Linked DNA regions of Tribolium castaneum. The protein of the gene in region 4 purifies or fractionates together with the protein of the main gene of each other region. This does not show direct contact. Links are inferred from orthologs where the notes say so. Each region holds a gene or a part of one and is shown on either strand. Other genes may lie near its edges. The genes, in order: rempA, Tpr2, Oseg6 and Oseg1.

The links.
Region 1: the proteins of Oseg1 (region 4) and rempA purify together in Homo sapiens (affinity purification with mass spectrometry; 4 studies listed by BioGRID and IntAct, counting the BioPlex papers as one, with this or other methods). This does not show direct contact. The link is inferred for Tribolium castaneum from reciprocal best matches to the Homo sapiens genes IFT122 and IFT140.
Region 2: the proteins of Oseg1 (region 4) and Tpr2 purify together in Homo sapiens (co-immunoprecipitation; 3 studies listed by BioGRID and IntAct, counting the BioPlex papers as one, with this or other methods). This does not show direct contact. The link is inferred for Tribolium castaneum from reciprocal best matches to the Homo sapiens genes IFT122 and DNAJC7.
Region 3: the proteins of Oseg1 (region 4) and Oseg6 purify together in Homo sapiens (affinity purification with mass spectrometry; 4 studies listed by BioGRID and IntAct, counting the BioPlex papers as one, with this or other methods). This does not show direct contact. The link is inferred for Tribolium castaneum from reciprocal best matches to the Homo sapiens genes IFT122 and WDR19.

The regions. Positions count from the first base shown.
Region 1 is NC_087399.1:1,792,289-1,796,343, forward strand, and holds the start of rempA (intraflagellar transport protein 140 homolog), read right to left. Parts: upstream 2,815-4,055; coding exon 2,668-2,814; intron 2,626-2,667; coding exon 2,401-2,625; intron 2,354-2,400; coding exon 2,163-2,353; exon of another isoform or gene 2,151-2,162; intron 513-2,150; coding exon 1-512. Other genes in the region: hob (protein hobbit), read left to right, coding at 2,961-3,019, 3,065-3,191, 3,235-3,432, 3,478-3,750. UniProt on the Homo sapiens protein: Component of the IFT complex A (IFT-A), a complex required for retrograde ciliary transport and entry into cilia of G protein-coupled receptors (GPCRs).
Region 2 is NC_087398.1:7,331,308-7,335,438, reverse strand, and holds the start of Tpr2 (dnaJ homolog subfamily C member 7), read left to right. Parts: upstream 1-1,295; coding exon 1,296-1,429; intron 1,430-1,745; exon of another isoform or gene 1,746-1,857; coding exon of another isoform or gene 1,858-1,883; intron 1,884-3,400; coding exon 3,401-4,131. Other genes in the region: mRpL10 (large ribosomal subunit protein uL10m), read left to right, coding at 1-167, 216-409; uncharacterized protein LOC103313090, read right to left, coding at 425-652, 699-925, 972-1,233. UniProt on the Homo sapiens protein: Acts as a co-chaperone regulating the molecular chaperones HSP70 and HSP90 in folding of steroid receptors, such as the glucocorticoid receptor and the progesterone receptor.
Region 3 is NC_087402.1:3,493,281-3,497,611, forward strand, and holds the start of Oseg6 (WD repeat-containing protein 19), read right to left. Parts: upstream 2,810-4,331; 5' UTR 2,615-2,809; coding exon 2,600-2,614; intron 2,512-2,599; coding exon 2,357-2,511; intron 2,309-2,356; coding exon 1,831-2,308; intron 1,780-1,830; coding exon 1,493-1,779; intron 1,445-1,492; coding exon 1,201-1,444; intron 1,153-1,200; coding exon 907-1,152; intron 861-906; coding exon 588-860; intron 502-587; coding exon 354-501; intron 311-353; coding exon 103-310; intron 60-102; coding exon 1-59. Other genes in the region: lipase 3, read left to right, coding at 3,257-3,385, 3,431-3,620, 3,666-4,331. UniProt on the Homo sapiens protein: As component of the IFT complex A (IFT-A), a complex required for retrograde ciliary transport and entry into cilia of G protein-coupled receptors (GPCRs), it is involved in cilia function and/or assembly.
Region 4 is NC_087394.1:36,927,793-36,931,793, forward strand, and holds the start of Oseg1 (intraflagellar transport protein 122 homolog), read right to left. Parts: upstream 2,851-4,001; 5' UTR 2,751-2,850; coding exon 2,692-2,750; intron 2,645-2,691; coding exon 1,660-2,644; intron 1,612-1,659; coding exon 1,330-1,611; intron 865-1,329; coding exon 435-864; intron 381-434; coding exon 253-380; intron 201-252; coding exon 39-200; intron 1-38. UniProt on the Homo sapiens protein: As a component of the IFT complex A (IFT-A), a complex required for retrograde ciliary transport and entry into cilia of G protein-coupled receptors (GPCRs), it is required in ciliogenesis and ciliary protein trafficking.

The DNA.
Region 1 (4,055 bases), on a different chromosome or scaffold from region 4:
TGCCCGCACACAGAGTTTGGTTCAATTTGCAGAACGCCAAGCACGTGAAAACTTCACTAACTGTGCGATTTTTATCGTCGTTTGTGTAGAATTTCAACGACGTGGGTAACACGTAGTTATCGTTGGTTTCAATGTCCCAAATGCGGACGATTAAATCACCGGTTAAAACCGCCAAACTGGAGTTGGAACACCAGACTAAGCCCTGTGTTCCAACACCGCGACTTTGCACCCTTCCGCTTAATTTAACTTTAGCTAATTCGTTTAACTGGCCTTGACTATCAACGGAGAAATGACCGATTGTTAAACCCTCCATCATGACAATTAGGGCGTCTTTGCTCGGATGGTGCACAATGTAAGAAAGGGGCACCCCTTCCGTGTTTAAGACTTCCATGCACGAGCCCCCGCTATTAACGTAGTAAATTGAGCCCACTTGCGTCCCCACGTAAAATGACAAGTTGTCAGAACCCTCCTGAACACGGAATTTCCGGGCTGTGGTCTTCGGACGCCAATTACTGGAAATTTTTGGCACGTGAGCCCCAATTTTCAAATTTTTACGTTAATGAATTGTGCCCACATTTTTTTTTTTTTGGTCTTTTTTATTTGTGTAACTGTGTTTAGGTTAATTTTTTGTTCTAAAATGTTTCTTGAGCGTTCCTGGCTTAAAGCAAAACTAGAAAACTCCTAGTTTAGTGTCTGTGTTTAAATGACCAAATCTCGTAACCGTTTATGGCTTAAAAGACCGCTTAAACAAAAATAAATGAGTTTCTGGCTCAAAATTGGATGAAATACATTGAAAAAAATTAAATGAAATGTGATTTAAGTCGCAGGCTGCAACAATAACTTAGTGGTTTACACAACAAAACAATATTTTTAAAATTTAACTAATATAATTAAAAATAAATTGCCCATATTTTTAAATCAATTCATTCATTTTATTTAAGCATTTGTATTTACGTATTTTTTTTCCTAAAAATTCTTTAGTTGATTTGTACAAAATTCTTGAGCACTTCTGGCTTAAAAGGGAGATAAAAGACTCACAATTCACTGAAATAACATAACTCAAGCCTTTTTTATTTGTTTGCTGTTTCTACAAAAAATAATGAGTTCCTCACTCGTTAATTAGCTGAAATACATTTGAAAACATAAAATAAAACGTGTTTTGATTTGTGACCTGCAAAAATAAATTGCTAGTTGGAATGTACATATTTTTAATATTTTTTTAACTGGCGTAATCTGGAAACAAATATTAACATTTATTATGGAAAAATATTTAAAAATAAATTGTACATTTTTTTATTTTTCGTTCTTTGTAATTTTTCAGTCTTTGTTTGTGCTACTTTTTTTCTAGTGATTCTCCGTTTATTTGGACAAAATCTCTTCCTAATAAAATAAATGAGTTCCTGACTCAAAATTGGCAGAAGTACATTTGAAAATATTATGTTATATTGTATTATACTTTAGTTGGAATTTATCTAACAAAATAATCTTTTTAATTAAACGTAATCTGACGGCTTATATAAATATTTATTGTAGAATAATACTTAAAAATAAACTGTCCATATTTTTTTATTTCTCATTTTTTCTAATTAGGTATTTATTATCTGATGTCTGTTTAATTAACTTTTTTCTAGTAATTCTTTAGTTTATTTGACGAAATCTCTTGGGCGTTTCTGGCCTAAAAGAAATTAGCTGAAAAACATTCGAAAAAATAAAATAAACAGAGTTTACATAACAAAATACTACATAATTAATATTTTTTTATTTCAGGTAATCTGGAGACTTCCCAGAGACCATCAATCGAGATCCTTCATTTTATGTTTTTAATATTCATTGTAATACTTAAAAATAAATTGTCCATATTTTTTATATTTTTCTTTTTTAATAAATATGTGTTTTTGTGTTACTTTTTTAAATTCTCCGTTTTTTTTTTGATAAACCTCTTGAGCGTGACTTTTTTGGCTTTCTTTGTTAAAAATGAATGGATTTTTGACTCAAAATTGGATACAAAACATTTGAAAAAATAACTTGGAAACTAATTCTTTCACAAAAAATTTTTTTTTAAAAATTAGTTTAGTTGGTTGTTCATTTTAAAATTGTCAAAAACCGGCACAATTCATTAAAATAAACAAAAAAATAAAAAAAGGAGCCACCTTTATCCTGACCTAAAAAGATCGAGGGCCCTTTCATCCCCATTAACCGCCGCCTTAGCCAACCCCTCAACATCAAAATCCGGATGCGGCTTTATCGTAATCCTGAACGTCAAATGCGTAATCGACTCCTTCAAATCCAGATGAAAAACCATAACAGTCTGCGCCTGAGTATCCACCACCTTCCACCCCACAAGCGACCCCGCCTGACAAAAATTCCCTATAAAAAACCCCCCAAAACCCGCACACTCACCGAATCGCACGACACAAGCCGGCCCCCCTTTTCGCTGAACTCCAGCAGCGTGATGGGGGCCTTGTGCGGCCCCCCAATGAGCGCAAAGTCCTTCTCCCCGTTCCAGATTTTAAACTCGCCGTTTTCCCACCCGGTGGCCAGGACATGGCGCTCGGGGTGCCAGGCAAGGGCCGTTACTTGAAAACTGCGGTGTACGGGGTAGTTTATATCGCTCAAAGGCTCCCCCTACAAGCTCATCAGCTGGGCAAAAAAGTTCGATAACCTTACCAACTCGTCGAAAATCGTCACGTAACCGCCCTTATCTTGCGAAAAACTGGCCACGGCCAGAAGGGCCGAGTTCGGGTGCCAGACCCCGTTCAGGGAAATCGAGCCCGGCTCCGGAAAACTCACCGGATTTTCAAAATAAAGTGTCATTTTTTCCTTGTTTACATGGCGTTGCTAGGACGCCGTGGGGTTTTTGTACGGTTCGTTTGGCGCCACTGCTTTTCAAAACTGACAGATGACGTAAATATTTAGCTGTCATGTGGGTGTTGTGAAAAAAACTGTTTTTTTGGGGGAAAATGGGGGGTTTCCTCGTTTTTATCGTGGTTTTTTTCCTCCTAGTTTCGGTGGTTTTATGGTAATTGTTGTGGAAGAGAGTGTCACGTGATAACTCGTGTTTTAGGGGCTTCAGGAACATCATATCATGGCTGTTTCGCCGGAAATACAACGTTTCGCTCAAAATCGGAAGCATAAAATTGCCCTACTTGAAATTATGTGATATTCAAATATCAAAAAACGGCTTCAACATTGTGAGTCGCCCCATTTCAGGCCTTCGTTTACGTTCGGTTTTAGCACATTGATGAGATCGGGATCAAGAGTAGTTTTTTGAATTCAGAGCTTACAAAGTTAGTTACGTTGGTTGTGAAAGATGTGCGAGTTAACAAAGACATCGGACAGAGTTCCGACTTTATGGCGGTCGCCGGAAACGGCAGAAAAACGCTTGATTTCAGAGATAAGAAAATTCCCCACTTTATCAACACTTTTGCACAAGTAATAAGCGACTGTTTTTACTATCGTGATAACGGATAATTGTAGTTTATGGCTGTGCACGTTTACAATATCTCGGCTATGTTACTGAGGTCTGAAACGCCAGGTTGTCTCACACATGCAACCGCCTCTGAATTGAGACTAGACGGCAGTATTTTAAAAAATGCAAGACTTTTGTTAGTTAGTTTAAACCTAATTGATGCCTCTGCCAAAGTACTGAGGCACCAAGAAAATCAATCGAAACAAACCTGTCTTGCAGAATTTAGGTTTGGTGTTTCAATGGACGTTATTTTGATCGCTCAGGGCCCCCTATCAGTTGAGGTATTTTTTTTTAAAACGTCTAAAGTACAGAAAGGCATTACACCGTCTTGAGATCTCTAGTTTTTTAGTAGATGTATTATTTACACGTTTAAGAATCTGCTAGAAATGGCAAGAAAAATACGCCCATTTTTTTGAACTTGTAATTGGACAAGTTATCTCGATATTTCGTCAGTCGATTGTGACGAAATTTTTACTACAGTTTAAGTAGTATATTATTTGGGATTTAGCGCAGAATTTTTTAAATTGGACTTTGCGTTGATTTTTTATTCATTTTTTAAGTTCAAAAAGTGGAAATCAATGTTCTA
Region 2 (4,131 bases), on a different chromosome or scaffold from region 4:
TTTTAAACAATATGGAAAGAAAACACTTGAAATCGCAGTCAAGGATACGAAATTTGAACCGGTTTTGGATTTTTACGTCTCGCAAAACATTATGGTCTTTAGTCCGCAACCGGAAGTAAAGAAATTGCTAAAAATCACGAAAAGGTTTCCCCAGCTTGTCTTACTAGGTATTGTATAATCCAGTTTTTGTTATTTTTAATTAATTATGCCTTTAGCTGCCATATTTGAGGGCAAATTTGTGAGTAAAGACGAATTAATTGAACTGGAAAAAATACCAAACTTGCAAACAGCTCAAGCAGCTTTGGTCCAAACACTCAACAGTGCAGCCACTACAATACATCAGCAGTTGAACCAACATCAAAGCACCCTTGTTTCACAACTCGAACAAAGAATAAAACAATTAGAATAGCTCAATAAATGTATTTCATAGATCATTTCTTTTTGCTTTTTTACCCTTTTTGCCTTTCCCTTTTTTCTTCCCTTTTTTACGTGGAGCGACGTCTGGTTGTACGCGGTGTTGGGCACATAGGGAAAAATTGGGCAAACACAAGAACCTGACCAAGGGCAGGTTTCTAAGATATAGTTTACAGAAATAAACCATATTGTTCTTAATTTGTTCCAAATTAAACAATTTGATACTATGTGGTGGGAACTAAAAATAATACAGTTTTTACCCACACTTGACCCCCATCACTTACTGGTAGAGAATGACACATTTGCAGTCCTTTAAAATACTCGTACAATTTTTCAGGACCAACATCCAAAACACTGGTGAAAAATAAATGAGTTAGGTAGAACTGTGACAACAAGGCCCCAGTTTGTTCCACGGTGTAACTGGCAGACGTGCAGAATTTAGTCACAGAGTACATCAACTCCCTGAATATGATCCGGGGAAGTCCCTTGGGCTTTTTGTGCAATTTTCCCTCTGCAACGAAAACTTGGCAAATTTTAAACGATTGTAATATTACTACCAATGAAATTCCTCTTGAGTCGTTTACTCTTAATGCCCATCAAGTGGATCACTTCAGGTTTTGTTAAATAATCCCAGGTGCAAATGTGTGGTTCCGCAGTTGGCAGTTTAACTCCTTTACAGGCCAAGTACTGGTCCGTTTGTGAGTCCGAAGTGTCGCTCTGAGTACTGTCGTCCTCTTGGCGCGTTACGAAGTAGTTTTTAATGTCGATTTCGTATTTGTTGGCGTTGAAGGCGATACTGTCAAACGCATTTCCATTCATTTCGTTTCAAAATTCCCGCGTTGGTGAAAATTTATCGATTGGTCACAAATTAGCTAGTGCGCATGCCCACAGTACGAATTTTGAATTCGGTGATGAATCGGTCTTACTCGTTTCACAACTTGTGCAAGATGGCAGATTTTGGGGAAGATGTTGTTATGGACTCTGAAGATTTGATAATTCCAAAAAATCCAGCCGAGTAAGTGCTATTTTACAACAATTAGATTTATTCCTCGATTTTGAGCACTGCTTTCGTGGGGTTTCACGTCGAAATGTCGATGACACGAGTGTCACTGACTCACATTTGTTACTGCAATTTCCCACAATTAATTGCTATTGATTCGGTTATTTCAGTGAACCACTTGGTGCGATTTTAAATTTGATTTGTGCAGTCTTAACGATTTCCGTGGGTTATTTTTAATCTAAGGTCGTACACCTTTGTAATTACTGGTTCACTCCTCCACAGTTCAGTGTTTATATTTGGTCCGGCGTGCAAATTAACAATTTAACCTTTTGTTTGGACAGTTATTTTATTTATAACGTGGATTTTATGGCCTTTGCATTATTTCTCCTAACTTGTCACTGTGACACTTTCGCGGTTTTTACCAATTTGTAACGAGAAAGACCATGGAAGTTGAGGATTGCCACAATATGTGAGTGTTGTTTTTGAATTTGTTTACCTCATAAATGGGCATAAGAACTGTAAGGTTCTCACTTTTAAATTGGATTATCTTTGTTGTTTATTAACGACAAATGTAACCTACCGAAGGAATAAACATTGACCACACGAGTGTTGGTTTTTGATAAGATAAAAACAATGTGATTTATTTACAAACTCTATTTGTGACTATGATTGTGATCAAAGTTGAAGAGAACCCAATTCAAAAAACCCTAATCTGGATGTGTAACGAATTTTTATCCACTAAGGTTTTTATTTCGTCAGAATATTACGACTTTGAGGTCCATGCTATAAGTTTTAAAGGGCTGTTAAAATTTAATCCACCCTAAAATCAGAAATCTAGCAATTTTATTGGTTGTTGCTATAGTAACAACGATTTATGGCCCTTAAATTTTCACAGTTTAGCATGTTAATTGGCTAGTTTGTTCTATATTTTTGCTTAGTCACGAATGAAAATCAGATCAATTCATTGATTAAATATTTACTAAATTAGAAAAACAAAAGTTAATATTTTCTTCTAATGAAGTATCGTTTCAAATCGCATGAAATTAGGGTAATATTGGTAGGTAGGTCATTTACTGGTTCACGTGTAGATATTGTTTCTGCAATATTGTTTGTTGCTCCTTGTCTCGGAGATTAGTGAATTAGCCCAGTTAAATTAAACAAAGAAATTCTTAGAGAGTTGGATTTTTTTAAAGCATTCTTTACACTTGGGTAGAATTATATCAAAAGTTCCCGAGGGTGGGGAGTGAGCTTGAGGAGGGGGAGGGGGTTAAAGAAGTATTTTTTGTTTTTTTTTTGTCTCGGAAACGGTTACTCCTATCAACTTTTATCTTCTTACCAAAATTAAAACTGATAAAATTTCCCATTTAATTTATCTTTAAAAAATATTTTTTTCTCATGTTTCTTATGGAAATCTCCAAGTAATTATTCAATTGGTTGGATTTAAATTAATTGAAAACGAATACCGTACTATTTTTTTGGGTTCAGAAAATCGTACGATTTTGTATCTCGTTTCGTCTCCTAAGTTATAGTTCTTCGTATTTCAGCTTTAACTTTTTTCCTAATGCCTCAAGTCCTTTCTATCCTACTTAATTATTTAAGATATTTTGTATTCAGACCCCGCACTAGGTAAAATAATATTTTATTCTTTGTCTTATGGCAAACTACTACCAAACTAAAACGGACAGAAGAAAATGAGAGAAAAAGTTTACAGTAGAGTAAGCTTTTTATGTTTGTTTGGGTCGTTATTTTTAATTGTTTTTAATAGGTTGTTAACATCGTTAGTTACTCAGCCAAATTCTTATTAAATTTGATAAGTTGGTAGTTATGTGAACTTCCGTTATATCATTGTTAATATTCGTTTTTTCCCCAGTTCTTTCCTATAATTTTCTGTCTTCATAGCGTGATTCACTCCATTAAAAGGCAATTTTCACTCATTCTGGTCACACTTAAGTTGCGTTGTTCCTGTGAAAGCCGTGCTTGTTTCAGGCTTGCCGAATTGAAAAAAGAAAATGGCAATCAATTATACAAAGTCAAGCAATACCGATCTGCCCTCAATCTCTACACCGAAGCCATCGAACTATGCCCCGAAACCGCCGCCTATTACTCGAACCGCTCGGCATGTTACATGATGTTGAACAACTTTCAAGAAGCATTGGAGGATGCACGCAAATCCATAACCATCGATCCCGCATTCAGCAAAGGCTACATTCGAATATTGAAATGCGCTATAGCCCTTGGCGACCTTACAACAGCAGAAAATGCCATCAAACAGATCAATCTGCTTGACAAGAACGCCAACATCAACAATGAAACTCGTTCGTTCGAAAAACTGAGACAGTTCGAAACAGAGGCAGCAAAAGCAATGGAAAAGAAAGACTTCCGAAAAGTTGTTTACTGCATGGATAGGTGTTTGGATGAAGCGCCAACTTGCACACGTTACAAAATAATGAAAGCCGAATGTTTGGCTTTCTTGGGACGATACCAGGAGTCGCAAGAAATCGCCAACACGGCCTTGCATTTGGACAAAACAAACGCTGATGCGATTTACGTACGGGGAATGTGTCTTTATTACGAAGATAATTTGGACAGCGCCTTTAACCACTTCCAGCAAGTCTTGCGACTTGCACCCGACCACAAAAAGGCTATGGACATCTACAAGAGAGCTAAAGAACTCAAAAAGACGAAGGAAAGTGGCAATGAAGCGTATAAAAACTGCC
Region 3 (4,331 bases), on a different chromosome or scaffold from region 4:
GTTTTCGCCACAATTCCTCCGACTTGAGCGTCTCGCAAGTGGTCCAAGCGGCCGAAAATCTATATAAAGTTATTAACAAATAGAACACGACTGGGTGGTTACCTATACAATGCGATCTGTTTGTTAAAATTGGTTTCTTGGATCGTTTGGTCATGTTCGTTAACGCCGATTTGAGGCGAGTCATGGGTGTTTAAAATTAGTTGAGTTATCTGACCGCCAGGTGTGGCTGATATTACTTCACCCGAGTACATTAATAGAGGGATTTGTTTGGTTACAAGCGAGGTTTGGCCCACTTTTTGGACCGAGGAACCTAAAATTGGGTGTTTTTACATTTTCACACCTAAATTACCAACCATTAATTGAGTATCGGACGTAGACATAGGTGAAAATATCGTGTTGGTCGTACACTATGAAAATGTTGCGATCGTTTATATTGCTATCCCACGTGACTCCTAATACTTTATTTGGTAGGTTTGGTATGAGTACAACTTCATTTATCACCTCAAAGAACAAATAGATTATTCAACGGGCCCCAGATTGTGTTTGTTTGTTTCCAAATTATGTTTAGTGCCGTAACAATTACTTACAGCATTGTAGACGTAACCTTGGCCTTTAATATCAACAAAAACTAATCTAGTGCCGGCAGGGTCGGCGAAAACGTTCACGATGCCAACTTCATGCTTATATTCGTGGGCCAAAGCCCACTCTTCGACGTGGAAATAAACAATATTTCCCATATCGGTGCCGTAAATTAAAAAATCGGTTGTTAAAAAATGGCAAGTTATGAATAAATTTGGTGAATTTGCGTTCGGAAACATTATAGTTTCGCGATCCTCATGGCAAACCTCCGGTTGTTCAATCTGTAGTAAAAAATTAACAAAGGAAAAAACTACACAAACTTATCACCATGTGTAGTTGTAATTTTCCTTCAAATAAAACAGAAGCATATTCAGGATTGAGTTTGATGCTAGTGACGCCCCCTAAGTACTGTCGGTCTTTGAGCATTAAGGGGGCGTCATCCACTCCCGGCTGGGGGCGCGTTAAATCATAGAACCAAACCCGGTTATTTAAACCGGCGGCTATGTGATACGGGCCCACGGCGATAAAACTAGGCTCCGTTTCGAGTGTTATAGGAATCGGTTTGTATTTGGTCTAAAACAAGCTATTTATTTTACTAGTTTCACTTTTTAACGTGACTACTTTTTCTGAGGAATAGTTGTAAAGACTGATTTCAGTCAGACTTGACAGAATCGCTATTCTAGGCGTTGAGACTGAAGTTAGTAACGGCACGTGTGACAAATAGACGTTCAAAGAACCACCACGTGTACACACTGAAAACAACTGACCGTCAACACTCCAACTTATCCTCTCTAAACCGGCCTCCTGTGACAAAGTTAAGACACTTGAGGTTTCTTGGAGGTTGCTCAAGTCGTGTATTTTAACACTAAAAAATCATAAAGTAGTGACCTGACCTGCCATGTTGGATTAATACTTGTTATCGCCACAAGATGCGGCTTTTCCGATTTTGTCGTTTATTGTAATATCAGTGAGGGTGTTTTTGTGATTCCGGACCTGGAATAACTCCTGGCCCACTTCCTTAATGTGGGTGGAGATGGCAATAAAATAACCGGCGTTGAAGCCGATTAAAATATAACCATCTCCGAACCACTTATACGTAACAATAGAGCCATAATGCTGCTGAAATGCTAATTCAATGGGATTGTCAGGGTCTAACAAATTGTAAAGATAGAGAGTGCGCTTTCCCACAATTACGCTGACCTGGAATTAACAATTAACGCGAAATAATCAGCGGAAACTTGAAAAAATTACAGTGTTTTCGCCCCCCATGCGCTCGTCGAGCTTCATTTCCGAAAAATTTATTTCAGACGGCTCTGCCCGCAAATTGATCACTCTGAGCGTATCCCCGTCTACATTACTGATAGAAATTGTTTTATCCTCAGACCCTAGTGCGAGCAAATTCTCCGTGTTCCAAGCCCCACACGTGATTTTTTTCGCGTGCTTGCCAATAACAGGAGTGCGTCTAGAACCGACAATTAAAAAAACAAACAACAAAAAAACAACTAACTTTGATGTGTTGTGATTATAAATAGATATGTTTCCTTTGACCGTCCCCACGGCCAGCATGGGGGCGGTCTTGGCCCAAATCACGCACGACATTTGGTCCTTCAATCTCACATCAATTTGAATCTTTTTCTGGGTGTTTGCATCCCACAGTGTGAGTTGAGGTGATTGGCAAATTACCGCCAAGAGATCACCGTCCGAGTCCCACCCAAAACCGGTGCACAGACTGCAATTTTGGGTTTAATTAAATGGAAAATTGAAAGGAATGGGGCACCTGGGCAAGCGGATACGGTCCTGGATTTGTCCATAACGGTCGAAAATATTGACCATACAGTCGATCCCAGTCGTTGCAAGATACATGCCAGAGCCATTTTGCCATGTCGTGTAAATATCACCGGTGCCATGGGGCTGTTCCAAGCGGAACAAGAGCTAGAAAGGGGTTGTTTGTATAGGTTATAAACGACCGGGAAAAATTGCAACATGCAGGAGTTGCTTTAGGGAAAAGGGGTGGAAATACCTTTTCGCTTCCCATTTTTTGAATAATCAATGCGTTTAATGTTTAAAACACGATACAAACATTGTTGTTATTGATGAAAAAGCATTTTGACATTCGACAGACGCCAAACACCCATATCGCCAACATGAGGATTCAAAATCTGGTTTTTTAATTTGACAAAAACTCAATTTTTGAGATTATTCCAGTGAAACTGAAACGATCCATCGACGTGCACAAGATAATTATATGTAATTGTAATTTAACTGCATTAATTTAAGTCTCTCTTACTGTATGATTTAAGTTGCATTTTGCTTTGAAGTAAATGCATCAAGTTACCGTGAAATCACCAAACAAAAATGGCGGCGCAAAATTCAAACCAAGTCACAATTGTGTTTTTAGTTTGTTTAAAAATAGATAAAGGTTTAACGAAAATTAGCTAATCACAACAAATAGAGTGATTTTCCCGACTTTGGACCTCACGTCAGTGATAGAGCGGCCTTGGTGAGTAAAAACCAATGAAATTACACTTCTGCATGACTCACGTGGGGCTATCGTTTTTAAATGCAGAATTATTTTAAACCATTGAAAAAACTCATTAGCTATTCAGTTTGGCAGACTTGAACCGTAAAACTGGTTCTGTTGCGTCCAAAGTTTAGGTTAATTGTCATCGTCTTTGCGATGCATCGATTTTTACTCCTCGTCCTATTTTTACCAATTTTTCGTTGTGAAAACGTTACAAACAGTGTCAAATGTTCGTTTGAAAACCTCTCGGCTTGTCCTTACAATCCGGACGCCGATTTAGATACAGTAAGTAGTAATCCCGTCATTTAACACCAATTAAAACGCCCGCAGCCCCAAATCGCCCGAAGACATGGCTATCCGGCCGAATCTCACTACGTCACAACGGAAGACGGCTACATCCTCACAATTCATCGCATCCCAGGGCCTAAGAGCGGCCAACGTGGGGGCCAACCTGTCTTTCTCCAACACGGGCTGCTTTCGAGTAGCGCCGATTGGATAACGGCAGGGAATAACTCCCTAGGTTCGTACTTTCAGATTTTTGATCCAAGAGTTACGGTTTCATAAGGTTTTATATTGGCCGATGCCGGGTATGACGTCTGGATGGGTAACGCTCGAGGTAACACTTACTCCAAAGCTCATGTTACTCTACCGATCGAAAGCCCCCAATATTGGAACTTTAGCTGGCACGAGATGGGAGTTTATGATCTCCCAGCTGCACTCTACTACGTCAGTAACACAACAAACAAACCGGGCGAAATAATCTACGTGGGGCACTCGATGGGGACCACAATGTTTTTCGTTTTGGCTTCAACTAAACCACAAGCCGCCAAAAACGTAAAACTGATGGTAGCCCTAGCACCGGTGGCTTATATGACGCATGTGAAGTCCCCAATTCGGTATTTGTCGCCCTTTGCTTACGATTTCGAATGGCTGGCGCGATATTTGGGTCTGAATCAATTTCTGCCCAACAGTAAAATAATGAAGTTTTTGGGGTACGATTGCGAGTTGTTGAAAATCGATAAGGAAATTTGCGAAGACGTTATTTTCACTTTGTGTGGTTTTGATAAAGAGGAGTTCAATGAGGAGCTCTTGCCGGTTGTTTTGAGTCATGATCCTGCAGGATCTTCCACCAAAACAGTCCTACATTACGCGCAGGAAATCAAATATGACGGAAAGTTCCAACAGTATGACTATGGGCCCAATGGTAATCAAATTAAATATGGGACTCTAA
Region 4 (4,001 bases):
TGGGAAAAATAAATACACCACTTTAAATGTCGGCTTACTTGTGCTAAATCAAACATTCTCAAGTCTGTATACATGGTTAAAGCTTTATGTTCCTGGCCAGCTTTTTGGTACAACCTTGCTGCCTCTTTTAATCTGCCTCTATGTGCATAAATATCACCAATCATGGCATCACGATTCGTTTCACCTTTTTTTTGTTGCTCCTTGAAACAAATTTAAACCAAAACTTAACGATACAAGAAAACACAAAATTACTTGCAAGTCTTGAATCAACTCCAAATAATGAAAATCCTGTAATTTAATAAATGCTAGTCTTGCAACTTCAAATTCGAGTGCTTCCAAGGCCGAATGACCCAATTCGTCCCAATCACCATCCGTCACACCTAAATAAAAATCATTAACTCTGATAAAATCACAAGCCCAAAAAAAACAATCACCTAAACAAGCAACTTTGTAAGCTTCATCAAACATTTTCTTATCAATATATTGATACATGGGAGCACTTAATGGTAATTCAAGTGTGACCATTGCTGCACCATTCAAACAAAATACTTTCGCTCCTGATAAACCCACAACAAAACCCATCATTTTTTGGCGATGGGCTGGAAAATCCAATACTTTTATTGCAAGTGAATTATTGCCACTGAATGCGACCATATCTTCGTATAAATTATTGAAAGCCACACTGTTTGTTCCTGGTTCTTGGTAGTATAATTCACCGGTTTTTGAGTGAAAAACTTGCAAAAGCCCCGTTTCGTCAACTACAGCCAATTTGGATTTTTTCTGGCTCAAGTCAAGGCAACGGATACCACCGTTAACTGTCACCTTGAGTAGGGGGTGGATGTTGTCTAAATGTACCTCCCAAACCTAAAAAACCCATTGGTTGGGGTACACTTTCATACCAAAACAAATTTTTAATTATTTGGATTTTAATTTTGGTTTTTTACAAGTACAAAAAAATGTTTCGTTTATTGAACAATTAATTCAAAGAGAGAAGTTCAAGATCAAAGTATTTTTGCTCATCTCGGTAAATTTTTTAGTTCGAAACACGATCGTTTCGTAAAATTTCATCAAGAATAAGCCAATAAATCCACGAAATGTGCCCTTATCGAGCAATTATGCACGTTTTTTGAACTAAAAACTGTTAAAAACTAATTAAATCAAATCAAATAAATGATAAAACTAATTTTTATTAATGACTTGAAAACTATCACAAATTTTGCGGTTTTCTTGAAACCCATCGATTTCCCGGAACATTTTACATACCTATGCTTAAAAAATATCTCAGACAAACTAGAAAAATGTTAAAGATACAGTTTTTATTACACATACCTGTCCATTTTTAAGCCCCAAAATCATTCCCTCCTTGCCCGGTGGCCCCCCAATGATTTTAATATACCTAATTGGACTCTCAAAATTCCACTCTTTCTCATTTTGTCCCGAAAAAAACATACTTTGTAATTTCTTCTCCTGACAAACAACCAAATGTTCCGTACACACAACCAAAAGACTACAGTCCAATTTTTGTGTTATTTTCTCTTTCGCCCGATAATGCATATCATTTGCATCATTCGAATACAACTCATAGATTACAACTCTTTCGGGCAATTGGACCTAAAAAAATAATTCGAAAAATGTTCGCAGTTTTTTTTTTAAACTTACAGCAAGTCGATGTTTATAAATCGCAATTTTCTTAATCAAATCTCGGCACTTGATGCGAACTTTTTGCTCGGTTATCAAGTGTTGTATAATAACATCGGTCATGTTTTCACGAAATGCGTATCGTTCCTTGTACAGACCATGAACAGTGTTGAAGATTAATTGATAGTAGGCTATTGTACCATCTTGGCACCCCATCACAACGAAATTACCAGAAGGATGAGCCGCACAACACCAAACCCATGCGTTTTGTTGGTCCCCAATGACGTCAAGTCTTATCCCATCTTTAGTGTACATCACACAAGCTTTGTTAAGTCCACTGATCAAAATGTACTCCCCTTTGGGGAAATAATTAATCCTCAAGGCCTCATAACCGATATTTCGTTCCTTTCCGACCAATTTCCCACCAAGTGTGTAAAAAGCCAAAGTTTTATTCCAATCAGCCACACACAAAACATCGGTCTGGTCCTCCTTACACGTACTCCAAGACAGGGCCCAAATTGCGGGGCTATTAGGCCGCTCAATCCTCCCTTTCTCCTCCCCTAGTTTATTCCTGATTGAAATAACCCCATTATTGAGCCCCAAAGCCAAATACTGCCCGTCGTTAGTCCACGAACAGGCGTTTATCTTAACATTGGTTTTGTGCTTTTGTACGGCTTTCTGTTCCGAGCTCCAGAACGCAAAGTCAGTGAGGGCACAAGAAGCCAATTGGTGGGACAATGGGTTAAATAAAATACACTGAACCGAGTCACTGTGACTATACTTCAGTAACCCTTCAAGTTTACTCGACCAAATAATCACAGTCTTGTCTGCACTACCACTTGCAAATTTAAGCCCGTTTTTTGCATAAGAAACCGCATGAACCTTATCTTTGTGACCTTTGAGGGTCTGAATTAGGCTACCGTCACTAGTATCGTAAACTAGGACATGATTACCGGTCGCCACAATCAACTGACTCCCATCAGGATTAAAACACAAGTCGTAAATCCTAAAAGGGCTATCAAGCAAAAAGTTTGATAAAATGAACGTACTCACGTCTGGCCCTTTTTTTCGTTGTCTTGGATTTTGTCGGCCCATTTTGGCACCGAACGCATTTTTTTTCAGACTTTTTTGCAAATATTGGAAAATTAAAATTGGTATTTGACGTTTGTGTACAATAACAAGCCGGGTTACCGTGGTAACACCTGTTGCCAACCGTCAAATCGGGCAACCAGCAATGCAATATGTCTATGCAATAGTCTAACAACCAGGCGCAATTTTGAGGAAAAGAAAGTGGTGTAAAAAAAATTGTTAAAATTGAGTTTTGTGTATTAATACCACTTATGACTAGTATCCAAATACTAGTTCGTATCGCTGAGACTAAAAGCAAAGCACAGATAATATTTTTTATCATTTTTTATCCGTGCTATGATTAAAAAATCATAATTTTTGTAAATTAATTAAATCGTTAATTAGTTTTTCCTTGTTCTTGTCGTTGTGAAAACACCTCGTTTGCGTTGAAATCTCGTTTCGTTATTTTTGAATCAGAGAAATGGGTAAAAACGTAATAAGACTTCGCTTATAATAATAGTATTCCGGAAAATTAGAGCCCGGAATGTGTTTCGCAACAAGGCTTTTCCTTCCTCAAAGGACGCATTGACATCGTTGAGCAGCCGCAAAATTTGCATTTACGACTCGAAAACCAACACATAAACCTTGTTACACTTCTATTATAAGCGAGTAATTTGAAAAATACGAACTGAACTCACGATTTATGGCTTTTATTTAAATCGAATTCATGACTATTTGAAATTGAATCGGTGAGGAATTTTGAAAGAAACAATTAATTGGAGCACTCTAGTCGACAATTTGAATAAAATAAACATTCCTGTATAATGGTCGGAAATTTTGTCTTAGATGGCAGTTTGAGATAATTTACAAGACAAGCTTTGTTTAAACAGTTTACATTATTTTTTCAAAGGAGCTGATGCGTAATTGAATAAATTCCAACTAGGCATGAATTAATGAAAGTTTAGTTCAAAGAGCTGTTAATTCAAGCAGTGTTTAAAAATTCAAATAATCGATAAATTGACTAGACAGTACAGGCTGTCGTGTTATTATGTCGTCAAGAATTTATAACCCTTGGACATTTCGAATTTTAAAGCTCGAATTTCAAGACATTATCGTTTTCCAAGTCAGCGCACAAAAGACCATTTGTCCGACAACAGATGGCCTATTTAATTCTGAAGGATAATTTTTCCATCAACTGTTAATTCCGGCTCAAAATTTAATAACCGTCTAACTTGTGCGAAATTGAATCTTGCGGGGTCTGAAGTCAGGCATGATATGGCTTTCCTATAATAAAT